7 linked regions of the Rattus norvegicus genome follow. The protein of the gene in region 4 binds, or shares a complex with, the protein of the main gene of each other region. Links are inferred from orthologs where the notes say so. Each region holds a gene or a part of one and is shown on either strand. Other genes may lie near its edges. The genes, in order: Mks1, Tmem107, Cep290, Tmem17, Ahi1, Tmem67 and Tctn1.

The links.
Region 1: Tmem17 (region 4) and Mks1 share a complex: the UniProt entries of both Homo sapiens proteins name them as parts of the tectonic-like complex. The link is inferred for Rattus norvegicus from reciprocal best matches to the Homo sapiens genes TMEM17 and MKS1.
Region 2: Tmem17 (region 4) and Tmem107 share a complex: the UniProt entries of both Homo sapiens proteins name them as parts of the tectonic-like complex. The link is inferred for Rattus norvegicus from reciprocal best matches to the Homo sapiens genes TMEM17 and TMEM107.
Region 3: Tmem17 (region 4) and Cep290 share a complex: the UniProt entries of both Homo sapiens proteins name them as parts of the tectonic-like complex. The link is inferred for Rattus norvegicus from reciprocal best matches to the Homo sapiens genes TMEM17 and CEP290.
Region 5: Tmem17 (region 4) and Ahi1 share a complex: the UniProt entries of both Homo sapiens proteins name them as parts of the tectonic-like complex. The link is inferred for Rattus norvegicus from reciprocal best matches to the Homo sapiens genes TMEM17 and AHI1.
Region 6: Tmem17 (region 4) and Tmem67 share a complex: the UniProt entries of both Homo sapiens proteins name them as parts of the tectonic-like complex. The link is inferred for Rattus norvegicus from reciprocal best matches to the Homo sapiens genes TMEM17 and TMEM67.
Region 7: Tmem17 (region 4) and Tctn1 share a complex: the UniProt entries of both Homo sapiens proteins name them as parts of the tectonic-like complex. The link is inferred for Rattus norvegicus from reciprocal best matches to the Homo sapiens genes TMEM17 and TCTN1.

What each region holds. Positions count from the first base shown.
Region 1 is NC_086028.1:73,151,453-73,155,398, reverse strand, and holds the start of Mks1 (tectonic-like complex member MKS1), read right to left. Parts: upstream 2,801-3,946; 5' UTR 2,179-2,800; coding exon 2,099-2,178; intron 1,680-2,098; coding exon 1,570-1,679; intron 230-1,569; coding exon 159-229; intron 1-158. UniProt on the Homo sapiens protein: Component of the tectonic-like complex, a complex localized at the transition zone of primary cilia and acting as a barrier that prevents diffusion of transmembrane proteins between the cilia and plasma membranes.
Region 2 is NC_086028.1:54,269,696-54,273,995, reverse strand, and holds Tmem107 (transmembrane protein 107), read right to left. Parts: upstream 2,801-4,300; 5' UTR 2,670-2,800; coding exon 2,583-2,669; intron 2,406-2,582; coding exon 2,338-2,405; intron 2,280-2,337; coding exon of another isoform or gene 2,256-2,279; coding exon 2,155-2,255; coding exon of another isoform or gene 2,038-2,154; intron 1,322-2,037; coding exon 1,225-1,321; coding exon of another isoform or gene 1,030-1,224; coding exon 960-1,029; 3' UTR 476-959; downstream 1-475. UniProt on the Homo sapiens protein: Plays a role in cilia formation and embryonic patterning. Requires for normal Sonic hedgehog (Shh) signaling in the neural tube and acts in combination with GLI2 and GLI3 to pattern ventral and intermediate neuronal cell types.
Region 3 is NC_086025.1:37,252,283-37,255,782, reverse strand, and holds part of Cep290 (centrosomal protein of 290 kDa), read right to left. Parts: intron 2,531-3,500; coding exon 2,317-2,530; intron 1-2,316. UniProt on the Homo sapiens protein: Involved in early and late steps in cilia formation. Its association with CCP110 is required for inhibition of primary cilia formation by CCP110.
Region 4 is NC_086032.1:100,718,365-100,722,471, reverse strand, and holds the start of Tmem17 (transmembrane protein 17), read right to left. Parts: upstream 2,801-4,107; 5' UTR 2,393-2,800; coding exon 2,293-2,392; intron 896-2,292; exon of another isoform or gene 821-895; intron 1-820. UniProt on the Homo sapiens protein: Transmembrane component of the tectonic-like complex, a complex localized at the transition zone of primary cilia and acting as a barrier that prevents diffusion of transmembrane proteins between the cilia and plasma membranes.
Region 5 is NC_086019.1:17,602,531-17,606,030, forward strand, and holds part of Ahi1 (jouberin), read left to right. Parts: intron 1-1,583; coding exon 1,584-1,813; intron 1,814-3,293; coding exon 3,294-3,400; intron 3,401-3,500. UniProt on the Homo sapiens protein: Involved in vesicle trafficking and required for ciliogenesis, formation of primary non-motile cilium, and recruitment of RAB8A to the basal body of primary cilium.
Region 6 is NC_086023.1:30,334,667-30,338,166, forward strand, and holds part of Tmem67 (meckelin precursor), read right to left. Parts: intron 2,953-3,500; coding exon 2,836-2,952; intron 2,738-2,835; coding exon 2,633-2,737; intron 1,977-2,632; coding exon 1,874-1,976; intron 1,151-1,873; coding exon 1,008-1,150; intron 244-1,007; coding exon 163-243; 3' UTR 1-162. UniProt on the Homo sapiens protein: Required for ciliary structure and function. Part of the tectonic-like complex which is required for tissue-specific ciliogenesis and may regulate ciliary membrane composition.
Region 7 is NC_086030.1:39,969,120-39,973,393, forward strand, and holds the start of Tctn1 (tectonic-1 precursor), read left to right. Parts: upstream 1-1,474; 5' UTR 1,475-1,545; coding exon 1,546-1,903; intron 1,904-4,274. UniProt on the Homo sapiens protein: Component of the tectonic-like complex, a complex localized at the transition zone of primary cilia and acting as a barrier that prevents diffusion of transmembrane proteins between the cilia and plasma membranes.

The sequences.
Region 1 (3,946 bases), on a different chromosome or scaffold from region 4:
CAGTGGTAGCCGTTACATTACAATGGCTACGTAAACATAACGGGAGAAAGTATAAGCCACCACAACCCTTTCTGGAAATCAGTTTGACAGTATGAGTCAGTGGCCAGGTACGAGACAGGTAGGTGGAGGCAGACTGAGGACAAGTCATGCTGGCTCACCTGGCTAAACAGCTTCTCCTGCCACCCAATTATAACTTCTTCCTCCTCTTCTTCATCAGGGCGGTGTCCACCTCCAAACACAACAGAATGAATCAGACCAGCCACACTTCTTCCTCGGTGGTTGGTTATAACCAGTGTTCCTATATTTGTTTCATTTGGGTCTTAAAATTTTTGTTATTGTTGTTTGGAAGTGTCTCGTTCTGCAACCCAATCTGACCTCAAATTCCAGATCCTCCTGCCTCAGCCAGAAAAATACTGACATTACATGTGTATACCACCAGGTCTGGCTTCAAAGTCCTGATTCACAACGACCACGAACCCCACTGGAATTCAGTGACTCACTAAGCACTCACTCTAGACAAAGAACGCACATGCTGGACACACTTTGGTTAATGCCAGAAGAGAGATTAGGATCTGAGGTGTCCTAATCATTACTCTAATTTGAATAAAAGGTAACTCTGCCTTCCAGGAAATATAATCTTGTCCAGTACAAGGAACTGAAATTTAGTTAGAGGCTGAAGAGTCAGCCCTTCCTCAATCCTGCCTGCATTTGCTGAATTGGCTAGATAAACATCCTGATGTTTTTCTGAAGCCACCTACCAAATCATCCATAAACATTAACTCAGGAGACCATCAGGAGAGGGAGGGAAGGCAAATAAATTTTTTTAAGAACTATATTTAATACACTCCTAGTTCTGTGCATCTTTCTCAAGACACAACCTTTGTGATCCACACAAAGAATGCCTAAGAATATTTCTGAGTAGAACGAGAAATAACAAAAGCACTAAAGATTACTGGCCCAACATGAGACTCTTGTCCTTTCTTTTGGCTTTGAAGGCAAAGAACAAGAAATCACATTTTTCATGCAAACTCCTATTTTTAAAATTGTTTGTAAGTGTATTTACACATACATTTGGAGTTTGGACCATATTTCTCTTAGAAGCCCTTTCCCCCATTCCCCCCCCCACCCCAGTCTCCCTACCGACCCCCCAACGGCCCCCAATCCCGGTCAAAGTCACAACTAGGATGAGTAAGATGGCTCAAGTCCCAGGACGCATCAGGTACAGAGAGAGAACTGAACTGGTTCGCAAAGGTTATCCCCTGAACTTCACTCTTGCACTGTGGCATGGGCTTGCAGACACACAAATGTAAAGTACAATGTAAAAAAAAAAAACAAAACAAAACAAAAAAAAACCACAACAAAAAAAAACAAAACAAAAAAAACAAAACAAAACAAAACAAAAAAAAACGAAACGATTGCCCAGGTTCAAACGCTTCCATATTCCCCAGCTATGTGACACTGGGCAGCAAACTCAACCTCTCTGAGCTTTCTGTTCCTCCTCGGTACCCTACTGCCCCGCACCCTTGCCTCAGTTCTCAAATGATTCTATTCTATTCCACAAACACCCACTAGCAGCTTGAGGAGGCTTAAAAGTGGCCAAGTCTATGAGGTCCTTCCCCATCTGGGCAGCAGGCTGGTAATGAAGGAAGTTGCTTGATGTGATTCTTTGCAGATGAACTCTGTCAAGAGAAGAGAAGTCCCAAATGTGCGTGTCAAAGACACACAGCAAGGAGATACACGCAGTAAGGATGGGAGAAAGAAATCACAGAGGCAGAGGTGCCAAGGCGGCAGCTAGAGAAGAGGTGGGTAGGGGCGTCTGATGGATAAGTCAGTGAGGCAGGACAGAAGGGTCTGAGGGCTTTGAAAGTGGCGAGAACTTGAATGGACTTGAACAGGGGTGAGTCTGGAAGGTGTGTTTGTAAGCTTTCAGTGGGAAAAGATCCTGAACCAGAACGCGCACAGAAATGGCAGAGGAAGTAGTTGGGATTGTAAGCGGAAGTAGGGGCCTCTGAGCATCCAAAAGCTTAAGGGTGGAATAAAGTTAGGGGGCCCTGGAGCTTAGAGTAAGGGGACCCTGGAGCTGGGGTGGAGTGACTACCGGAGGCGCAGGTTGCGCACGGGGTCCCGGGAGCGATACACGGCCTCGCCGGTGTCAGTGCTCCAGACGGCTTCCGCCATGACAGCTGCTTCGCGCGGCGACCGCGCCGGAAAGCGCGCCCCGTTCCCCTGGCAACGGAGACGCTGGCTTCTTAGACAAGGGAGGCTCTGCGCACGCAGCTCTCCACGCCTGCGGCAGCCAGTCCTTAATGTAGAAGCAAGGGACCCTCAGCAAGTGAGCATGTGTGACGTCTGCAGCCTTGCTTGTCCTGTGTGAGAGCTAATGCACTGCACAAATGAGGAAACCGCCATCAGCTACTTTATTTAGGTGCAAAAATGGTGATGGCGGCCAGAACCAGGTGACCAGAGTTCTTGCTTTCTGACCAAACACTGCCTTCCACTGAACATTTGAAAACTTTGGCCTAGGGGGCGTGTAGAAATGGCTTAGTGGTGAAGAGGTTAGTGACTAGACTTCCAGAGGAACCAGCGTGCTCAAATGGCCACTCACACCTGTCTGTAACTCCGGTTCCAGAGGGGTCAGACACCTTGTCGCCTTACAGTGGACATACTGTGCGCAGACGTATTATGTTCAGCCAAAACACCATTATGCATGAAATAAATAAAAAAACTTTTTTAAAGAAAGAAAACTCAGGCTTAAACAATTGGTGAGTATGGTTGAAAGGACATGCTACGAAAATAAAACATATTCTTTGAAGAAAAAAACCACAAAGAAACCTGTAGGGCAGGTATATCAGTAGTTTTGTGGGTACGCACTGAGCCAGAGAAAGAAAAAACAAGGAAGCCAGCAGTAAAAACAAGGAATCCAGCAGAAAGGAAGGAAAGGGTGTTTTCCCCGTGGCATGTCTGTTCTGGATTATTAAGCAGTTAAGATTCCAAGCCAGCCCCTGAAAAACCAAAGTGACATTCAGAAGTCATGGTTCACTGGAGCATCAAAGGAAAGATAGTATAAACTTAATTCCGGCTGTTTGGCAATATCAATATTGGTAATAAGTATTTGACAGTTGCTGCCCATTCAGCTGAACAAGCAGTTGTTGCCTGGACTGAGACATTTCATGGCCATTTGATTATAGGGCAGAGAAGTCCTGGGCGCATTAGCTACTCATTGTGTACACTAAGAACTCACCACAAATAGCACATACCCAATGGGACCTCACGCAGTTTATATTGACTGTAACCCTCCCCAAAACCTCTCCAAGAGATACTTTATTGCAATTTAAAGGATGAAGTTACCGAAGGCCAGGAGTAAATTAAGGGGCTTCTTAATGAGTGCCGAGGTGGTAAAAACAGATTCCAGCCTGGTTTGGTTTTTGTGGCCTCAAACCTTCCACTGACTTACTGTCTCCCATCCACATCCTTAAGAAAATACAATTTCCGGGGTTGGGGATTTAGCTCAGTGGTAGAGCGCTTACCTAGGAAGCGCAAGGCCCTGGGTTCGGTCCCCAGCTCCAAAAAAAAAAAAAAAAAAAAAAAGAAAAGAAAATACAATTTCCAACTAAAGAATGATTTCTATAGACTGAAACCATGGAGATGGAAAAGCAAGTCAATCTGATTTTTTTTAAGCTGAGAATATCCAGGGGAGGGGGTTTATGTTTGGATTGCCAGCACTGGAGGCATAAATAAAAGGACTTCAAGTCTAAGACCTCATTTTAAACAGAACAAAACAAAAGAAGAACAAACAATTAAAAAAAATCAATCAAGAGCTGTAGAAATGGGTCAGTGGGTGAAGACCTTTGTCACTAAGCATGATGACCTGAGTTTGATCCTTAGAAGGAGAAAGCTTATTTCACAGAGTTGTCGTCTGACCTCCACACTTTGGCATGTGTGCCCA
Region 2 (4,300 bases), on a different chromosome or scaffold from region 4:
TTCTAGAAGCTGGGCAAACAATCAGCAGCAAGGCACTTGTTGTCATAGAAATAAGGTCTGAGCAATCAGTCAGTCATATACACAATTACTAAAAGCACCTTAAAGTCATGGCTCTGACCAGTGTTAGGAGAAATTTCAGGAGCACAGGACAAAATTCCTAAATTCTATCAGTCAGTACATGCGAAATAAATATGATCGTCAGAGAATCAGATAGGAGCAATCAGGATGTTGTCAGGTCCTGATTACACGGAAATGCTAATCAGCAGATCATGCAAGCTCCAATCATCATTTTCTATCTGCCCTCCGAGAGGAGGAACAGGTAAGGATTAACCTCCTGACGATAAAGGACAAAGGGAGCCCATTCCTAATTAAGTAAAGACATTCCATATTAAAGAAAGGGTGAGAATATGACAATTTAGCACGAACCCAATGACTTATAGTTATTGCAACTCAAGAGCAATATCTATTTGCAAGTCGCCTGAAATATTTTATTTTTCCATTCGGCGCAGAAAGAGAGAAACAAAGTTCTCCCATAATGCTCCGCTCACATACAGCAAATTAGAAGCCCTATGTGAGGTTCTTATTTACATATTCCCGCCCACTCACTTCCGCCTATTTTGTACCGTAAAAATCCAAATAGAAGCATAAGCTACTAGCTCACGTACAGAAGGCTAGAAAAAAGCCTTTATTTACATCAGCCTTTTGATTTACCCAATGGTCTTCTGACAAATAGTCTAAGCCTTGCTCTTATTATAAAATGAATTTTATTACAAAACTCTAATAAAATTATAACCCAAGATTTGTGAGATCTTATCCCAACATTGCCATTTTCTGTTTAGACGCAGTTGGGAGGAGCAAAAGACTAGGGCGAGAGAAAACTGAAGCCTCTCCCTTTCTTCTTCCAGCAATGGGAGGGAGTTCATCACGTTTCCGGCTTTGGTCTCTTCATCGGATTGTGATCAGAAGGGTTTCTTTTTCAGCCCAAAGACAGCGATGAATAACGCAGTTTCAGTGACAGCTGGAAAAGCGCTGTGGAAGTAGGGGGTGGGTTTAGAGCCCCTTCCGACCCAAACACTCAAACCTCCAAGCCTTATATGTGAGTGGGTTAGCGGATGGGTACGACTCTTTAAAACTCTACCAATTTCACATGTGCAGGAAAGGTCTAGGTGGGGGAAACCTTCAGATTTGGGGTAGACTTTCCACCACCCTCCATTCCAAAATAACCTGCAGAAGGCAAAAATGTACCAGTACGTGGTACATTCCCATCGCTCGAATATGAAGAAAGATAGGGCCACAGACGCGCTACAGTGGGCTGCAATGGCTTAAAAATACAGCAGAGTCAAGGAAAATAATAGGTAAGTGATGGGTCCCTTTAGTACTCGGACTTGGGCTCAGCTTGTTCCCTTCCCTTAAGACAAACACCAGAGTTGGCAGCCATGCCTTCTGAATTTGTGGACACTTATGTGTAAGAGGCCAGAGCTGAGTTTGTTTTGATAGGACCTCTCCCTGTACACTTTTGGGAGTTAATGTCACATATGCCCTAGGCCTCACAAGAATACCTACAGGTCTGATACACTGTGGGAATTTCTCCAGTGCTCTGGTCCTCCTTGTCCACAACTCAGAGTCAACGGCTATCTTTTTTTTTTTTTTTTTTTTTTTAAAAAACAGGGTCTCTCTATGTAGCCCTGGCTGATTTGGAACTCACTATGTAGGCCAAGCTGGCTTCGAACTTAGAGATTCACCTGCTCCTGCCTCCCTAGTGCTAGGATTAAAGGTTTGCAACATCACACCCGGGTATCGAGAACCTTCCTATGTGTCTCATTTTCTTGGTCCCTTTTGAGTTCCCACAATGGTTTGTATTTTGCACACTCCTACAGAATACTGTTTAATCACACTGATTTACAGATGTTTATCCATCTCTTCCTCAAACAGGATAAAGTGGTTTTACTCCCACTCATGGATCGCCAGAACCTGGCTCACATCAGGGTTTAAGGTTTGAAGTCTATTAATTCCCCAAAACTGTCTAAAACCTCTCACCTAGAGAGATTCGCTTTGCCACGTAGGGCAGAGACTTGTGCCCAAAAGGCCTACAGAAGTGGAAAGAGTGAGTGGTGATGATGTCGCATGGGGACGCTGGCCAGGCAGAAAGGATACAGAGGAGGCTCTGGGTGCTATTAAACATGGAGACTCCTGAGAGGAAGCCAGCCAGCTCCACTGCAAAGAGGCCCAGGGTGAGGCAGAGCGCTGCTACCAGTCTGCAGAGAGAAAGGGTGATGGACCTGGGTTTCCGGATTGCGTAGAAGACCCTGGCACTCTCACCCCGCCCCAAGAGCTCACTGGTTGTCCTGCTTCTCATATTCCTCCGGGGTGAACTTGAGAGGCAGGCAAGCCTGGATGTTGCTTTCCTGGTGAGCCGGGCAGAAAGAAAGAAAGAAATGTCAAAAGAGGGATGGGGTTGCGGGGGACGGGAGCAACGGACCCAGTGTGGGTCTGTGGGAGTGGACTGAGCTGAGCTGGGTCCACTCTAAGGTGAGAATGGGAGGGACAAGAAGACACGCGCGCGCGCCCTGTCCACGTCTTACCCGGGACCAGAACAAAGTGATGACAATCACCAGATGAGCCAAGAGCGTCAGGAATCGAGAGGGCACGAGCCCGGAGATCCGACCCATGGCCTCGGGGGCCCAAAGCGGAGGCCGTAGAAGTCTGAGGAGGGTCACTCATCAAGTCTCCCAGAGCAAGCAGGCCAGACCTCTCTACTTAAGCCTCCTTCCCGCGTGCTCAGGCGCCGCCCGGTTGCCATGGTAACTGCGTCCTCAGGCGCCATGCAGCTGCCTCCGGAAGTCTCGCGATAGTGCTGCGCCCTCTGCAGATGTCTATAGGCCAGGTACCCGAGCCGATGCTCACCTCCTGGTGCTTGTGGGATGAATCCGGGAGGATGCACCCGTAACCACCAAATCCTCCCTTTTCCTGTGCTTCCCACTCACTGCCTTGGGCGCCAGGAGATGAGGGAACGAAGGAGTAGAGCTTCAGCACCGAGCTTTGCCCCACAGTCTCGCCAAGCCCTCCCCGCCCCCCCCCCACAGCCCCTGGTTGTCAGAGGGCTCCCTCTCCCACCCAAGACCAAACCTCTGCCGATGAACGACTCTAATTTCTCCCTAAATAACTTGTCTCGGTTTCATGAAAGATTTGCCGAGTGCAGAAATGAGCAACCTTGGAATGGGTAGAATAGGATGTGGGTGGATGAGGTGACAGCCTCCTCGGGATCCCAAGGGATCTGAAAAGGTGAAGAATGGAGTGGGGGACTAGAACAGCTTGTGCGCCCCTGGGAGGCTTAAACCAGGCTGATTCACCACCGATTTCACTCTCGCTTTGAGTTGCCAGGCCGCGGACATTGCTCAGTTACAGACCCAGAACCTCTTCTTAGGGTGATGTGACTGATTTGGGGCTTCGGATGAAATGCCTGCGATCGGAAAGTTCTCACTACCATCCCAGTTCACAATCAAGTCCCATTGACAATGAACCTCCTCCTTTTGCACCCCCTCTTCTCTCATTTCTCTGTGTGTGTGTGTGTGTGTGTGTGTGTGTGTGTGTGTGTGTGTGTGCCTCTAAACCAGCCTAAAAGACAAGACCCAGAGGGATTTCATTCATTCAACAAATATCTGATGTCTCCCAGATGCCAGGCACTGTGCTTGACTCAGAATACATCGATAAAGTCCCTCCAGTTTATATTCTAGGCAGAGAGACTGATAACAAAACAAACAAACAAAACAAAACAAACAAATACACACACACACACACACACACACACACACAAAACCCCAACAAAACCCTGCAAGGTAATGTATGCTGTAAATTTAAAAACTTTAAAGGGTGACACTAGAATAATATCAAAGGAAAGTTTTGAAATAGATAATTCCTAAATTTTCGTTTCAAGGAATTGGGGGGAGGGGGAGAGAGAGAGGAAATGTTTCTGTCTCCCTAAAGTAATACATGGGGTCCCCTTACCTAAACCAGTGAGTAAAAACATTTAGAATGCAGAGTCAACGTTTTTTACTTAAAGGTCATGAAAGACAGGCTGGAGTTCTTCCCACTGAGTGGGGGATAAACCTAACCTAACATGAGATCCCAAACCAGACAAAAGACACCCCCCACCCACACACACACTCACACTTTCATTATAAAAGACTGGTGGAATGTTTGACAAACAGTATAGTATTTGTAACTTAAATAACAACAACGTAGATTTTTTTAATTTTTTATTTATTATATATGAATACACTGTAGCTGTCCTCAGACACAC
Region 3 (3,500 bases), on a different chromosome or scaffold from region 4:
AACCCACACACCTATGGTCACTTGATTTTTGACAAAGGAGCCAAAACCATCCAATGGAAAAAAGATAGCATTTTCAGCAAATGGTGCTGGTTCAACTGGAGGGCAACATGTAGAAGAATGCAGATCGATCCATGCTTATCATCCTATACAAAGCTTAAGTCCAAGTGGATCAAGGACCTCCACATCAAACCTGATACACTCAAACTAATAGAAGAAAAACTAGGGCAGCATCTCTAACACATGGGCACTGGATAAAATTTCCTAAACAAAACACCAATGGCTTATGCTCTAAGATCAAGAATCGACAAATGGGATCTCATAAAACTGCAAAGCTTCTGTAAGGCAAAGGACACTGTGGTTAGGACAAAACGGCAACCAACAGATTGGGAAAAGATCTTTACCGATCCTAGAACAGATAGAGGCCTTATATCGAAAATATACAAAGAACTCAAGAAGTTAGACCGCAGGGAGACAAATAACCCTATTACAAAATGGGGTTCAGAGCTAAACAAAGAATTCACAGCTGAGGAATGCCGAATGGCTGAGAAACACCTAAAGAAATGTTCAACATCTTTAGTCATAAGGGAAATGCAAATCAAAACAACCCTGAGATTTCACCTTACACCAGTGAGAATGGCTAAGATCAAAAACTCAGGTGACAGCAAATGCTGGCGAGGATGTGGAGAAAGAGGAACAGTCCTCCATTGTTGGTGGGATTGCAGACTGGTACAACCATTCTGGAAATCAGTCTGGAGGTTCCTCAGAAAATTGGACATTGAACTTCCTGAGGACCCAGCTATACTTCTCTTGGGCATATGCCCAAAAGATGCCCCAACATATAACAAAGACACGTGCTCCACTATGTTTATAGCAGCCTTATTTATAATAGCCAGAAGCTGGAAAGAACCCAGGTGCCCTTCAACAGAGGAATGGATACAGAAAATGTGGTACATCTACACAATGGAATATTACTCAGCTATCAAAAACAATGACTTTATGAAATTCCTAGGCAAATGGTTGGAACTGGAAAATATCATCCTGAGTAAGGTAACCCAATCACAGAGAAACACACATGGTATGCACTCATTGATAAGTGGCTATTAGCCCAAATGCTTGAATTACCCTAGATGCCTAGAACACATGAAACTCAAGACGGATGATCAAAACGTGAATGCTTCACTCCTTCTTTAAAAGGGGAACAAGAATACCCTTGGCAGGGAATAGAGAGGCAAAGATTAAAACAGACACAGAAGGAACACCCATTCAGAGCCTGCCCCACATGTGGCCCATACATATACAACCACCCAATTAGACAAGATGGATGAAGCAAAAGAAGTGCAGGCCGACAGGAGCCGGATGTAGATCTCTCCTGAGAGACACAGCCAGAATACAACAAATACAGAGGCGAATGCCAGCAGCAAACTACTGAACTGAGAACAGGACCCTCGTTGAAGGAATCAGAGAAAGGACTGGAAAGCTTGAAGGGGCTCGAGACCCCATATGAACAACAATGCCAAGCAACCAGAGCTTCCAGGGACTAAGCCACTACCTAAAGACTATACATGGACTGACCCTGGACTCTGACCTCATAGGTAGCAATGAATATTTTAGTAAGAGCACCAGTGGAAGGGGAAGCCCTTGGTCCTGCTAAGACTGAACCCCCAGTGAACGTGCTTGTTTGGGGGAGGGCAGTAATGGGGGGAGGATGGGGAGGGGAACACCCATATAGGAGGGGAGGGGGAGAGGTTAGGGGGATGTTGGCCTGGAAACCGGGAAAGGGAATAACATTCGAAATGTAAATAAATACTCCATTAATAAAAAATAAATAAAATAAAATACGTGTCCATAAAATTCATGAACTGGGTGGGGAAAGCGTAGCATCTTCTAAACCATTTACCAAGTCTGAGATAAATAAAAAACACAGCAAAACTACGATTTCCTATTAAATCTATTGACCAACTTTTCACAGAAAGCCTCTGAAGCCACATTCTGTCATCTCTCTTCCTTTTTACCACCATATCACCCCAGTCCTCTAAAGTGTTCAAAACTGCCTGAGCAACATGAAAAACCAACGGAAATGAGAAATAATGAGGCTAAGATGTCTTTTCCTTCTTAGAGATACTTGCAGACCTCCATACATAAATCAACTGCACTATATCTGCATTTTAAAATAGCATTAGCACAGAGCAGAGCCATGTGAAAGAATTTCTAAGCAACCACATTAGAAACCACATTCTTTTCTTTCAACAGTGCTTAGTGCCTTTTTCGGACCTCCAGATTTCTAGCCCTTTTCCTTGGTGGCCATGAGGCACTTACCTTTTGCTGCTTCTCTTTCAAAGCTAGCTGGCTCTTTAGCCTGTCTACTAGATTCCTCATTGTGGTTGTTGGTGCCCTGGAGTTTGCTTCTTTCTGAGCCTGGAGTTCAGACTTTAAATTCTGGGAGTCCTTCTGTGCTTGGGCTAGAGCATGCCTTAAGTCCTCTACCTCTGCTTTCACTTTCTTTACTTCGTTGGCATGAGTTTCTTGGAGCCTGAGATAAACAATCACATGTATTGACCAGACTGGGTATTGCAAGCAATATCTTGATTTAAAAAAACAAAGCAAATCAAAACAAAATGACGTTGGAAAGCCACAACCACAGACTATGGTTATGTCTATACGCCATATGTGGTAAAAGACTATACACGCAAGTTACTTCAGAAGATTACTACTTCCTTCATTTAGGAATTAGATCTGAAAGCCTAGGTACTCTTCAGTAAGGCACAGTGGTCCATGCCTATGATTTCAGGATTGAGTCAGCTAAGGCAGATTACAGTGAGTCCGAAAGCTTACACTGCCCAGTGAGCTCTAACTAGGACAGCCTGGCCCAGGGTGAGATGTGGCTCAAAAGAGAAATGAAAACAGATTATAAAAAACATAAATTTGCAGTCCAGTACATGGCATAAGATTAGTATACAAAAAAATATAAACTCTCCTGTATATTCAACAGACTGCGAGAATCAAGACCAAAGCAGCATCACACAGGATCTTCAAAAGAAAGACTCTCAAGTGGCAGCTACTTACATATTCACAAACATGTGCTACGGTATCTCAGGTCCAAGAGTAAACAGTCAAAGTTCTAATGGGCCATCAGAAAGGGATAGAATCCTAAGTGGGCCAACATTCCACTGAACTGAAGCCAGGAAGATGATCTATGATTAGAAACTGAACCATTTCATACCAATTTTATGTTTAAAAAAAGCTGACTGATGCTAATAGTCTTTAATATATAATATGTTGTGAACACTCTGTCACTACAGTTCCTTAAAAGCAAATTTAACAAACATTTATTAAGCCTGGTTTTTATCACATATTCTCAGGTTTAAACAAAAGGTATTTATATGTGAATTTGTAATTTTCAAGTCACTTCTGTACCGGGGAACTTCACTTGGCAGGAGTCCAAGTAAATATTGCCATTTTCATTTACAAAGGATGAAGTAGACAGTGGAAGTAGTTAAAAT
Region 4 (4,107 bases):
TTGATTATGTTCCCCCACTCCGAAAGAAATCTTGCCCCTCTAGGTATTTTCCTCTCTGAACTGCATATAAGAAGTGCTGGTTAGGGCTGGAGAGATGGTTCAGTGGTCAAGAGTGCTGCTTGCACACACACACACACACACACACACACACACACACACACGTATATACAGGGAGCAGCACTATTAGGAGGCATGGCCTTGTAGGAGGAAGTGTCACTGGAGTTGGGCGTTGAGGTTTCAGACGCTCAAGCCAGGTCCACTGTCACTCTCTCTTCCTGTTGCCTGCCAATCTGGATGTAGAATTCTCAACTACTCCTCCAGCACGTCTGCCATGCTTCCTAACATGATGATAATGGACTAAACCTCTGAATCTGTAAGCCGGCTCCCATTAAATGTTTTCCTTGGTTACGTTGTATCTTCACAGCACTAGAAAGACTAAGTAAGACAGAAGACAGAGACTCTAGGAGCCAGAGTTGGGATACATTATTACATCTTTCTGGGCATTCCCCTAATCATCTCTGGAGGGATGACTCCTCACAGGCTGTTGTGAGGAACTCCACTCTTTCCATTATGCCTATCACACTTAGTGGGCACTCCACAGACAGTGCCCTTCCTTGTATACGGAGACAATGCTGTCTCAGTGTAAGCACAGATTTCACTTAACATGTCCTGTTCAGAATCGTACAAATACCAACCATGTAGAAGCAAAAAGAACTGATTTTCAAAAGCATGCTGCCATACAGGTGGCCATTTGTGACTCACACATTCTACTTACTAGACTGGTTACCCAACATCTTTTGCTTTTGTATAAAAGAAAAGGTCCGGGGATTTAGCTCAGTGGTAGAGCGTTTGCCTAGGAAGCACAAGGCCCTGGGTTCGGTCCCCAGCTCCGAAAAAAAGAAAAAAGAGAGAGAGAGAGAAAAAAAAAGAAAACAAAAGGTCCTTCAACAAGAATTTGATTATAAAAATTGAGCCCTAAAATACATTATAATTTAACTACATTCTTATTTTAAATTGGTTGTTCTAAATGTAAGAATTTAGGAAGATAATGAGAATTTCCACTGAAACTGATTTTTGTTTTTCTCTGCATAGTTTTTTTTAATTGACGGTTAATACTTTTAAAACAATCATGGGGTAGGGGACTGGAGAGATGGCTCAGTTGTTAAGAGCACTGACTGCTCTAACCAGAGGACCTGTGTTCAATTCTCAGCAACCACATGGCAGTTCACAATTGTCTGTAACACAGGTGTACATGCAGGCACACAAGCATAAAAGCCAATGCACATAAAATAAAACAAATTAATGAAAAAAAAATCATGGTCTCTAGAAGGAAACTAAGTTTTAAGAGCAAGGCTGACTATTGTGGTCTGTTTTTCTTGCTTTGATTTCTTAAACTATCCTAAATTATCCCAAATATAGGAATGACTTTTTTTCCCCCAAGGCAGGGTTTCTTTGTATAGCCCTGGCTGTCCTGGAACTTGATCTGAAGACTAGGCTGGCCTCTGCCCACTGAGTGCTGGGAGTAAATGCATAGTCAGCCTTGCTACTATCTAGGTTGTTGAGGCTCTGCACGGTAAGGCTCGCACTTTAAATCAGAAACATAAAATCCTAATTTTTTTCAGGTTTTCCCCTACATAACCTAAATTACACAAATGACCAAGGTGACAAAATGCAATGATGAGAAGTGGCTTTGTTTTCCAATACCCCCTTTAAAAAATAAAAATAAAAAAAGCCCAAATCAAGACGGATTTCCACTTTCTTGAGTTCAAAGGTGAAAATCATGTACGCTGTCGTCCTGATTGAGGAGGCAGAAACTGGGGTCAACTCGGTGGTATTTCGTTATTAGATTGAGGGAGAGAGTTTTTTATACAGGGAGAAAGGAACAGGCAGAGGAAGGCCATGTTAGCTTGGCCGCTGCCAGTGGCTGGTGAGGAACGTGCTTGCTCTGCTAGGAGTTTGGACACAGCCCGGTTTTGTGCAGGGTGGGAGCGGGAAGCCTCTTCCCCACCCTGGCCTGCGAGCGGACTGCTTTCACGTAGCGGGGACCGGCTTGTGGGAGAAGGCGTTCCTGCTATGCACTCTGCCTCCCAATCCGCTCGGCGACAGCGCCACCGGGTGCAGTAGCTGTGGCTACTGAAGCTCGTGGTCTCCCGGGTCCGCCACAGGGTCGCGGTCTCCTAACCCAGGACAGTACCCTGGCTGAAGCCGTGGCCGCCATCTTTGACCCGGGCACGGCCTATGCGGCCGCCCGCCCGCGAACCACACCTCCGCGTGGGGCCCCTTGCCACTCACCCGCGGCCTCACTGGACTCTGGCCCGGTACGGCTGGAGTCGCCGAACATGGTGAGGCTGAGGTTGCTCAAGCGCTGACGAACAGGGTCCGGCAGCTCCATGTCTGGCCTGCCCGGGCCTATCCCCTCACGTTCCCGCTAGTGGGCCAGCTCAGCGGCGCGTGGCGGTTCCCTTGGCAACAGGGCTGTGCTGGCCGCTGGGGACCTGGTTCCTGGGCTGCCCGGCGCGGAACAGAGTCCTCCAGAGCCTTCTCCGCGGAGAGGCGAGCGGGAGCCACCGGCCCGCTGCCGAATGTGGCCTAGTGCTGCTGAAAATGGAGGGTTCCTCCGTCTTGCTTTAAAGCTGCAGCGTCTTAAGATGATCACAAGTAATAAGCCATTTGGTCCTGAGCTGAGCCACAAGGAGCTCTCACACCAAGGCAGTTTTTCCGTAAAATTGGTGCGCCATTTCTAGAGGGAAATGGAAAAGAAACATAAATCTTAAAGAATGCGCTTGACCCAGTAGGTTCCTTTCTATCGGTACATAAAATCTGGAGTAAGGCCAGGGTGGATGAGACAAGCAAACCTGCTTCAGAAGACAGGAAAATAACTCAAAAGTATTGAGAGCAGTTGTTTCTGGAATATGGGTGACTTAAAAACTAAAAACATCAGCCGTTCCCTGCTCTCCCTTAAGATGTATCATTTTAGCACTCAGGCAGAGACAGGAGATCAGGCTAGCCTGGACTACATTGCAAAATCCTTAAAACCCAGAACAAACCGTAATAGCCATATAAAGAAAAGCACAATCGGATGTACCAGCACCCAAGTCAGTCAACCGTATCAGCATCTCCAGGAGCTACGTTTTCTCAGTTGCTTATGAAGCAACTTTATAGTACACTAATCGCACACTGAAGTTTAAAAAGAAAATCTGACTTTGATGTCAACATTTGTATGAATCTTCTTTTTATTTTATGATCACACCAAGTTTGTCTATGTTGATAAGTTTCTGTGTAGTTTCTACGTAGGAGCAGTTATGACAGGTGCCACTGTTGGTGAAAATGCTTGTTGGTAAGCATATGTTTATGTTGAGTATAACATACACCTTTTTGTCAAGTGTAACATTCACGTTTATGTTGAGAGTGTGCCGGAGAAGTGCTGAGTGGAGTGGTGTGTAAGACCGATTTTATTGGGATCTACGAACACATTCCCAAAGAGGTTTCATCAGACTCTCCCACCTCCAGCTATATTTGAACGTCCCTGTTATTTCATGAGTGTGGGCTTATATTCCACCCTAACCTTTTCATCTTTCTGGTGAAGGGCGGTGGGTCTGCAGATGTCTCAGCGGTTACCAACACTCACTGCTCTTGCAGAGGACCCCGGTTCATTTCCCTTTACCCACATGGTGGCTCACGTCTGTAACTCCATCAGAAACCTCGTTCCCAAAGGGAGTGAGAAAGGATTTATTCTGAGCTAACTATGAGTCCCCAAAGCGGGAAAGATAGATTCAGGTTATCCAGGTAATCTGTTCCGCCATCAAAGTGGCAATATGAATTTGTATTACTAGAGGGTGCAAGATAGCCATAAATCAATGCGTCTACTAAATCCATTAGTGAGGACACCAGGTAGGCAGGTCACAGCAAGGCAGGGACACCTTTGCCATAGGTCTCAAATGCTGTATGAGGGTATAATAGCTTTGGGTTGGTGGATTGGTGAAAGCCACAATCGGCTAACCTAACAGATTCCAAAGGTGTTTTCTGAATGGAATGATCAGATACAGAGGCAAGTGGTAAATGGATATCAAGAGGACTGAAGAGAGCCTAAGATAATTTCGTCCTTTG
Region 5 (3,500 bases), on a different chromosome or scaffold from region 4:
GGAAGTACTTACCGCGTATGTTGTTTGCAGTCAAGGAAAACTACGAGAATATAGAGAGACACATATGCCCTTGACAGCATAGTTGTGTACCGTGCAGACTGACTGGTTAACAGTAAAACTTACGGCAAGTCATATCTTTTATTTGTGTAATATGTATCATTTCTGATTCTTGCTGTTTTTAAATGATTATATGTAAACTAATTAATATCTTGAAGAAGGTTAAATGTTTGAGATTTGTCCTATGTGCATGTGAGGATTCTGTCTTCATTGTAGGCTTGACATAGGGGCTTGAATCCCCTGGTCAGAGTAAACCAAGTAGACTCTCGGTCTAGCTCCCTAGAGCTTTATAAATTATAAATATTTGCATTTTCACAAGGTCAGTGTTCCTTTTAGTTTAATATGTTTCAGAGTACATTTTATTTATTGTCTGATTATTCAGTTTTCTTCATAGTGTTACTTGAAGCCCAGGCTAGCCTCAAATGTGCACTCTTTCTGCCTCAGCCTCCTGTGTACCCAGATCACAGGCATGGCCAGCACAAGTGATTCAATAAAATGCCCTAAAAGCTAATATTTAAGCTCTATTCACATCTTCTAGCTTTTTAACCTTGAATATTTATGGCAGTCAGAAGATGACAAAACATGATAAAAATAAAAGGTTCCAAGCTGCTCTTATCTATGTCATGTAGATGAGAAAGATGTGTTCTCCACAGCCCGCGAAGCCGTCACCAAACCCCTCGTGAGACCCACACTGATCTCACTCTCCTTTGTGCTGTCTCTCCAGTTCTCACTTAATGAGCCGTGCCATTTCCTCTGCCTGGGTTCTTCAGCTGGTCACCTTGTCAGCTGGTCACCTTGTCAGCTGCCCTTTCATATAAAATAACCAGTGATCAGAATGTCACCATTGTCATATTTCAGTGAAAGACTATAATGGAGGACAATTTACTCCCTCTATTACTCTGGGAAACTCACCACTCCTCGAAATGTACTATGGATATTGTCTGGCATATTTTCTTAGCACAGCCAATCCAGTAATACTAGAACAAAGGGCATAAATTTGCTGAGATGTGACTATGGGCTTTCAGTCCTAAGTCTAATGTCATAAATTGGATCCCTTAGAACTGGAATTACAGATGGTTATGAGCCACCGTGTGGGTCTGAGAACCTAGCCTGGACCTTCTGCAAGAGCAGCCACTACATGTAACCTAGCTGTCTCTCCAGCCCTCCCTACTTGCTAATACATATTATGCTAAATAATATTTTACTAACTATTCACTGTATATTTACTCAATATCAAAAATAGTTTTAAAGTAGATTGTGTCCAAATACAAATAAGTTTTAGTTTTACAGTGTAGGTTACAGTAATAGATAAAATATATTTCATGAGAAATGGTTTTGTAAAAGAAAAGTGAAATAATCTAGTACCATCTTGTATGCAGTCGTCATAATGGTTTTTATAAATAGTAATTTACATTAGTTTACTATTGTTTAGCATTTGCTCACCTAAGATTTATTGGCTATGTTCTTATAAAAATGTGTAGAGAACACTTTGCATTTCAGGTCTGCTCCTCTCTCTCCCACTGCAGGGTTTGGAAGAATGAAATCAACAGCACAAGCACGTTCAGAGTCTTACCTCACCCTTCCTTCGTCTACACGGCTAGATTCCACCCCGCCACACGAGAGCTGGTGGTTACGGGATGCTATGACTCTATGATTCGGATATGGAAGGTGGATGCGAGGGAAGATGCCGCCATCTTAGTGCGCCAGTTGGATGTCCACAAGAGCTTCGTCAACTCCATCTGTTTTGATGATGAAGGTATATCACAGAACGTGCTCTAAATCAAGAACAGTTACCTTGATTGTTTGATCCCTCTCTCTAATAGTTGATGCCTGTGAGACATTTGCTGTATTAATAGTTGTGTATATTTAAAGTTATTTGTAGTTTCAAGTAATGGGATAGATGTGACAGTGAAAGTGTTCTCTTAGTGACTTTAAAGTTCTTTGTATTTATATTCACTTACCATCCTTTCTTCTGAAACTCCCTCCTGTGCAGCATTTCATAAATATATTTATTTGCATTGGTGATTATTATTTTTAGTAATTGCCTTTAAGAACATTTTAAGTTAGGCCGTACAAAAATGAAAGGGATGGTGACAACCTCAAAAGAGTGCGGCAAATGCACATGCTGGGTATATTGGTAGGAGCTTTAAAGACAAATACAGAAGGAAATTTGCAGATAATTAAAGGATATCAGCGTTTGAATAATATAAGAGCCATTTTAAAATAAAACATAGGTTTTTATTGGGTAAGAGAATAAAGAAATTCATCTATTAACTTGTTATTATTATATTATTTCACAGATTAGGTATGACAGCTGCAGTTATAGGTATCTACAATAATAATTTAGAGAAAAATAATAATACTGCTATGTACGCAGTTCAACTTCAGAGAATCTAACAAATTAGAACGAGTATTTTAATATATGGCAGTACTCACCATTTGAGTAAGCTCATTCGTAAACTATTAAATTCACAGTTCTAAAAGCCATGTTTGTTAGCAGTGATGTGTCATGTATTCTCACATGGCTATGGTGTTGAATGTTTCTTATACGTCCCATTCAGTTTTTAAAAACTGGTATTAACACTTGTTACTTATGGTTTTTAAATTCTCTGATTATTTCAAATTGAATAGTCACATGACTATGTTTACAATGTGTATTAGAATATGTATTTTTCGGGCTGGAGAGATGACTCAGTGGTTAGGAGCACTGACTGCCCTACCAGAGGTCCTGAGTTCAAATCCCAGCAACCACATGGTGGCTCATAACCATCTGTAATGAGATCTGACGCCCTCTTCTGGTGTCTCTGAAGACAGCTACAGTGTACTTACAGATAGTAAATAAATAAGTAAACAAATAAATAGATAAATCTTTAAAAAAAAAAGAAATAGAAAAGAATATGTATTTTTCTAGGAGTATAAATGATTGCAAGGCTAATAATAAGAGCTACAGATACACACTGTGTACCTCAAGTACTTTGGAATAGGAGTGTGTGGGTGCGAGACGCGCAGACTCTGGATAACTAACGTTACCCAGCATGCTTTTTAAACATGAAGGACTTATGAAAGATAATTGGCATGTAGTGCGCATTCTATTTTTACCTTTTAAATAGAAAAACCCTTCATTGACAGTTCAGTGCTTTGACTGTGTGTCTAAGTCGTGGCTTCCCTCAACTTCATACCATTTTCTTTATGACGTCCGTGACCCTCTTGAGTGAGTAGCTTGCTGTTTTTAACAGGTCACCACATGTACTCAGGAGACTGCATCGGCGTCATCGCTGTGTGGGACACTTATGTCAAAGTGACTGATGTGCAGCACTCTGTGCGCCACTGGACAATAAACAAGGTACAGAACCACACCTCTTCACTTCTGCTGACCACAGTTGGGAGCCACTGATCCAGTCTCGTCTTCCGAGAGGGGACTGGTGTCACCTCATCTTCCTCAC
Region 6 (3,500 bases), on a different chromosome or scaffold from region 4:
GAAATAGTATTTCTACTATATCTTATATTTTACAAGCTATAAAAATAAATCTTTCTGTAGATAAAAAAAGGAAGAATAATATGTATTACGAGTTTTACAAAAGATAGCCTGACATCACGGCTTGGCCCCATTATACTGAGTCCTCAGGTTTTGCATCACAGATTAGATCAGAAATCTTTCATCCACTAGTGTTTTGGTTGCTAAATTCTTTTGTCCTACTGTATTTCGGATAAATCGAAAAATCTAGAAAAGCAAAACAATTAAGAAGAAAATTAAATATGCAAATCAATTTAAAGTACCTAAATTAAACTAGCTAATTTTCCCAACCACTTCATATCATGAATGAGATACTTTAATTACTAGATATATTTATTTTAAAATATACATATTAGGAAATGTTTTTATGAATTATATACATACTTCTCATGCTTGCAAGAATATACTTTTAAATACTTAAGGAATTTAACTCCTAAAACTATGGAAAGATCAAAAACATCTCCCTGGTAAGGGAAGAATTTGCTATGATTCTAAATCCAGGAATAATACACCATGTAGAAACTCATTTATCCTTCGTGAGAGAGGGTGTTTGGGTGCTACCAATAACGGCATTTCCAGCACAGCTGCCATTTCTTGAAATGGTCCCCACAGTGAGACGTGTGCAATCGAGTACAGCCCTGAACCACATGCCCAGTGTTTGCTCCTTGTGTGTGAATGGGACTTAGGGAAATTCGTGCTCACTTTTGGTATGTGGGAGACGGGTGGTATGTAAGTATCTTCCTAGGCATTAAAGCCACTTTCCTTCCACTGGATCCTTGAACATTTATGGTCCCCAGGGGCAGAGTGCGGTGTGGTCTGCTGAATGGTTCTTTCCTTTGGCGGTGTTAATCATAATCTAAACATTCACCAAGCCTACTCAAAGTGGATGCTCTCACATTCTGTTGAGAAAATACATACCCTCACTTCTAACATGGCTGCTTTAGGAGAAACCAGAACACGCTGTTACTTACCTCTTGCTGCAGGTAGGTGAGGAAGGATGCTAAAACAAAGTTCTGGCAAGCCAAGTCCACGACACAGAAGAACAACAGATCAAAGATAAGGAGAGTGGCCTCGTTCCCATAATACAGCACACTGCTGAAAGAATGACTTTCATCTAGGAAAGCCATGGAAGATGTGTCAGTCAGTGACAGAGAAGATCCGTGCTACCCCCCGGCCACAGCAGATTAAACATGAGGTACATCTTGGCTCACACTAAAGTAGAAGGTGCTTCAGACTGCCAGTCTAAAATGGTAGTCAGGGCACGCAGAAACACCCACAAGCAGGAGTTTCAACATCAAAGCAAATGTTGATAATTGCTACAGAGTGCGTATGCTACGAACACCTTTAAGGAGCAGTTACTGAATCCTCGTCCTCTGCTTATAGAGCTAACAGCTAAACTAATCTTAGAGATAGTGTCCAAGAAAAGAATAAAAGATAAGAATCTAAGTCACAGTGCGAGCATGGGCTTCCTGTGTCAGTTTCCTACAGTTTGGTCCTCTGCCTCAACACACAATTCTGTCCTTTTGGGGATTTGAACACCTTCTTAAAAGACCTGAGAAGTTTCCTGTCACCATGGAAAGTAAACAAGCACAAAACCCGAATGTTCGCCTCCTCTTCCTCCCCAGAGCTGCTCTGCTATGTTCCTTAATGACACCTCTTCCTGTCTCGTTACCTTCATACTGGGTCAGTTCACACACTTCAGAATCCATCTGACTAGGCTGACCTAATCAAGTCCCCATCGTTTCTATATGAAATCATAAAGATCAATGGAAGAATGACTGCCAGCACCCCGTCTCCCCCAAACAGGCCTCAAGCTCAGCAAGGACACGAGGGTCACCATTGTAGAAGATGCTCTTCTCCAGGGGCTCCATGAACTCCATCCCGAGGATCTTTTCGAGAAGCAACTTGTCTTTTATGAAGTAATCCATTTCCTTATGAACCTAGTTTGCGAAGACAGTCATGTAAAAAACTGTAGTGAAGTCAATGCTTTCTAATTAATGAAAAATTAGAACTACAAAAGCTGAGAACACATAACATACAAAGAAAAACTTGTATAAAACGAATCACTATGCTAGAATTTAAACTAATAAATATTAATTTTAAATATTAAAAATTATTTTAGAAATATTTTAAATCTTGAATTCTTAAATTTAAGACTGAAAATCTTTAAGATTTTAGTTTAATTTAAAATTAAGATCTGAAAATTGATTTATAAGATGCTTTTTAAAAATACAATCATAGTGTAAGGATTTCAATGTGAGATAACATTTTGGCGACATACAATTCTAGTATAGTATAAAGTTCTACAATAGAATTTTATGGGACATATAAAAGGGAGTCATAATTTGCTAATGGTCACATTAAAATCACATTTTTCTTTTAGATAATCTAACTTTATGTAATCTAACTTTATGTTTAAACCATAAGTTGTTAGTGGCTGCAAATGCTTTTTAAAAAAATATTCCTATGTGTTAGGATGACAGAAAAGCATGGGTTCACTGACACGGCTGAGTGAAAATATAACTGAATTCTCATTTAACTTTTCAAAGCCAGCAGACCACCCTGGCTACAGACAGACAGACATCCAAACACATACGTGGTCAATGAAAGAGCCGAGGAACTTATTCATTGCGTGGTATGCCTTTATACTTTGTTCCAAGGTACTCCCTGATGAGCTCAGCAGTCTGGCAGGGCCATTTCTCTAATATGCAGGAGAGAAACGTGTAAGCACAGCACGCCTGATGCGGGACTTAAATGACCTAAGGATGGTGAAATACGCGTGAGCAATACTTTACAGACCCTTGTTAATGTCTCGTGAATTCTGTCATAGTGCTGTCTCATCTGACTGGAAACGGCAATCTGAAACGTCTGCCCATCTGTGTTGGGCACCAAACCTCTTTGACTGCACAAATTTTCCTAAAAAACAAAAAATTTAAGGGTTTAAATTAAGATAGAAATGATTGCAAAAGGCCTTTTAAAAAAAGAAAGTTCTTCAGCTTGTTCACGTTACAAGATTTATTAATCTAATGGAATCTTGCTGATACTGGACTTGAGACGAACACTAGTGTTTCTCACTGTGGTCACAGTTTCCCACAGATCTGTGGTCTCAGTCACTTCACTCTCATTCCAGCTTCCCCGTCGTCGCGGTGTCACCTCCTGTACTCTGCTCTAAACCACTGAGCTCACTGTACAGTTTGTACCTTAGTTTTCACCGCGAGGACCTTACCTTCTTTAACGTTTGTAAGACTGAACAGTGGAAGTATGGATACCTTCTCACAGACTATACACGACGAACACGAACTCACTGTTGCAGTAGCTCAGTGCCCAGCCAGTTCCCACTGACGGCTCACGGCCCGTCAGATTCTGCCTCCGTGACTCCTTCTCAGAACTTACTACTCTCTCTCGCCTGATCCCACCCAGCGAGCAGGACAGCCTTTGGTTTCCACAAATGTAAAGGAAGATAT
Region 7 (4,274 bases), on a different chromosome or scaffold from region 4:
AAACTGGGGAGTCGCTCTAGAGAAAGGTCAGGCCATTTCTTATAAACTTACAAACACACATGACCATAGAATGCACTCCTAGGAAGGAGCTCTGAGAGAAATGGAAACACAAGTCCACTTAAAGTGTATAGTGAACCTGTAGAGCGGCACTCATTAAAAACCGCTGAAAACCAAAACCAAACCAAATTCTACCACCCAGTAAATGGATGACACTTGTTGCCAATAAAGACGTTGACTGGGAAGAAACCCCAGCATAGGTGACTATATCGGTTATTTTTATATATTCAGTGCCGAGAACTGAACCCTGGTCCTCTGCAAGCAGCAAGTGTGCCTAATGGCTGAGTCATCTCTCTAGCCCCTAGATGGACTCATTGACCTATGATGGGGAAAAAAAAAAAAACCTAACAAATGAGTCCCCAGGGTCCCTAAGGATTCCAAAAACGTATGAGCAGATGCAGTCTACACCTTGACTTTTACATTGGGGCCATCAGGGCTTGAGATTAGATAAGACGACTTTGAGAACTGAACTTTTCGCAGAATGGTTCGAAGCATGGGACTGTAAGACTTGAGGAGGGGTTGGAGGGTTAAGAGTTCTGGCTGCTCTTTCAGAGGTCCTGGGTTCAATTCCCAGCACCCATACGGCAGCTCATGACTGTCTATGACTGTAGTCTCATGAGATGTGATGCCCTCTTCTGGTGTGCATACGGACATAACACCCATATACAAAAAATACACAAATAAACCTAAAGAAAGAAAGGAAGGAAGACAGACAGACTTGGGAGGCAGAAGCAGGCGGTTCTCTGAGTTCAAGGAAGCCTGGTCCACAGAGTGCGATCTCGGACAGCCAGGGCTATAGAAACTCTGTCTCAAACTCCTCCCCCATCTTCCCCAACCAACCAACGAACACACGAGAACATTCCGAATGACATAACAGCAGAAATGGAGGTTGGATTCCGTGGTGCATGTCTGCATGAGGCACTGATATAGGACTTCCTTGAGTTCGAGATTAGTCAGGCGGACACAGAGAGATCCTGTCTAAAAGAACCAAAAAGTTAAGAATTCTTTTGTTTCTCTTATCATAAATACGTGGATAGAAGTGGTCTGGCGACCTCCTGCGTTGTATCTAAAGGCAAAGAAAGTAAAGTCAGTAAGTAACATGGGGTAAGAAATTCAAGGATGGTGGCAATATGTCTTAAAGGACTCCAGTCGCCTCTAAACATGCACTTCTAACCATGACACATTAGTTTACAGATTCCGGTTTTCAGAGGGCTCCTTAGAAAGAGCAGTCTCAGACCCCGCCCCCACGGTCCCGGCCCCGCCCCTCCGACGCCAATCAGGTCCCGCCCATAGCCCTGCCCAGTTCCCGCCCCTTTCGTGATCGGCGGGCCTTAACCCAATCCCCGCTGGTCTGGCTTCAGGCCCCACCTTTCTCCGCAGACTAGCGTGGCCTCGCGAGCCCTTTCCCGTGGTGCCTAGCGCTCGGCTGTGACTGTTGCCCGGCAACAGACAGGCCTAGCTCTCTGGCGCGGGATAGTATGCTAGTCCATGGGGTCGCGGTGTCTTCCGCCGCTCCTGCTGGTGCTCCTAAACTGCTGCACCTCTTCGAGCACCCAGGTCGTTGCCACCCCGGCTGCGGCCACCCCGGTGGTGACGAATGAGGATCTCAACTTCACCGAGGCCACCCCGGTGGTGACGAATGAGGATCTCAACTTCACCGAGGCCACCCCGGTGGTGACGAATGAGGATCTCAACTTCACCGAGGCCACCCCGGTGGTGACGAATGAGGATCTCAACTTCACCGAGGCCACCCCCGCCACTCTCAGACCCTCCTGGTCTCCTAGGACCCCGGGAACTCCCAGGCCACCGGAGCTCTCTGGCCCCAGGCCCACCCCGGTCACGGACGGTGGGTACAAAGTGCTAACTCCCTGGAGCGAGTAGACCAGTAAGAACGTACGGAAAATGATAACCCTTCTCAAAGTTCCACCTTTCTCAGCCTCCCTGTCGTTCCCTGAGAGGGAGACGGGATCTCCAGCACACAAACGCGGAGAGCGGAGCTAAGTTACTCCCTTTCCCACATAATTTCAAACAGCTGGAGTGTTGATGCAGAAAGTGACTCTGGAGTGGAGTTCTAGATAGAAACCTTCAGAATGAGTTGTAGGCAGTACTGGTAGAAGAAAGGGTGCTAAGTAGATCTTAGTCCTTTCCATGCAGACACACGGACGTGAGCATACGAATGCTGTTTAGATGACTTGAGAGCTCAGTGGAGTTATTAAACATGCCAGCTTTACCCTCATCTTCTTACCTTCTGAAGCTTTTCCAATAATTCGTGGTTGTAATTTTAAACACATGAGGCAGTGGGCCTAATTGCTCTCTTTCTGCTTTCCGTGCCAGTTAAGGGATTGTGGCGTTATTTTAGCGAGCATGCCCAGTTGTCCATGGCTAGAGAGGACCTCATCTAGAAGGAGCACATTTGCCTTTCGGACTAAGAAACATTTTGCATTTATCAATAAACTTCCTTTTCCTTTTGTGTCTTTCCAAAGCACATTATACCATTTTGGGGGAGAATTTTTCTTAAAAAAAAAAAAATATATATATATATATATATAAATATATAACACACACACACATACACACATATTTAATTATGTGTGTATATTTGTATAGGTGAGCACTTGGGTGGCTGGATATATATTGGTGACCTTGGAGAACATAAAAGGGCCTCAGAGCCCCGGGAGCTGGAGTTGGTTTGTAAGCTGCCTGACTTGGGTGCTGGGGACAGAAGCAATATGTGCTTTTTTAAAAACTCCTGAGCTATCTCTCCAGCCTCCTGTAGAAATATTCTAGTCTCCTGCTTTCTCCTTTTTTCTTAACTTTGTTCCTGACAGTTTTGCTAAGTGACCCAGACTGGCCTATATATAACCTGATACCTTTCTGACTATCCTGACTGCTTCCCTGTTGCTGAGATTCCCAGGTGTGGGCCTCCCATCATGCCTCCCATCATGCCTCCCATCTCTAGAGGTTGTTTTTATTTTTTTTTTAAATCATTCATTCATAGAAACAATGCCATGATGTCCTATTAGCTAAAGTTCTTTAAGCCTGAGATTGTTGCCTCTCCCACTCCCCCTAGGAAACAAAACATTACAGTTAAGAATCAGGGAGCTGGAGAGATGGCTCAGTGGTTAAGAACACTGACTGCTCTTCCAGAGGTCTTGATTCAATTCCCAGCAACCACAGGGTGGCTCACAACCATCTATAATGGGATCTGATGCCCTCTTCTGGTGTGTCTAAAGACAGCTGCAGTGTACTCATATAAACAAAATAAATAATTCTTTTTTTTTTTTTTTTGGTTCTTTTTTTTCGGAGCTGGGGACCTAACCCACGGCCTTGCACTTCCTAGGCAAGCGCTCTGCCACTGAGCCAAATCCCCAACCCCAAAATAAATAATTCTTAAAAAGAAAATCAAGTCAGGTGGTGGTGGTGGTGGTTGTACACACCTTTATCCTGGGGTAAGGTGGGTGGTACAGAGGCAGGTGGATCTCTGAGTTCAAGCCAGCCTGACCTCCAAAGTAAGTTTCAGGACAGCCAAGGCTACACAGAGAATCCATCTCAAAAAAACAAAACAAACAAACAAACAAACAAACAAAAAAACCAAAAAAACAAAACAAAACAAAAAAACCCCCAAAGATTCAGTGACATTTTAGCTGGGGAAAGGGAGAACCGTGGTGGGTCACAACTGTGATCCTTCATCTTCTGCTGAGAGGTGGGAGGTTAGGAGATCCGATCCAAATGAGCCTCTGTTTCAGAAAACAAAGAGCAAAACAACCAAGATTATCAAAGCCCCAAATTTATTACTTCCTCCCCCTCACGGCAGTCAGAGCCATGCATTCAGTTTACTTCCAGGCTCTGGTACTGGTCGTCCTCGTTGTTGTATGTTCTGGTTTTTGAGATTTATAAGGGGTGTTTTGCCTCTGTAGATACCTGAATGATGCCATATATGTGCCTGGTAGGTACCTGCAGAGACCAGAAGAGGGCATGAGATCCTCTGGAACCAGAGTAACAAATGGATTTCTCTTTTTCATAGATTTATTTATTTAGTCATTTAATGTATGTGAGTACACCGTAGCTGTCTTCAGACATACCAGAAGAGGGCGTCAGATCCCACTACAGATGGTTGTGAGCCACCATGTGGTTGTTGGGATTTGAACTCAGGACCTCTGGAAGAGCAGTCAGTGCTCTTAACCACTGAGCTATCTCTCCAGCGCCTGTTATTTCTT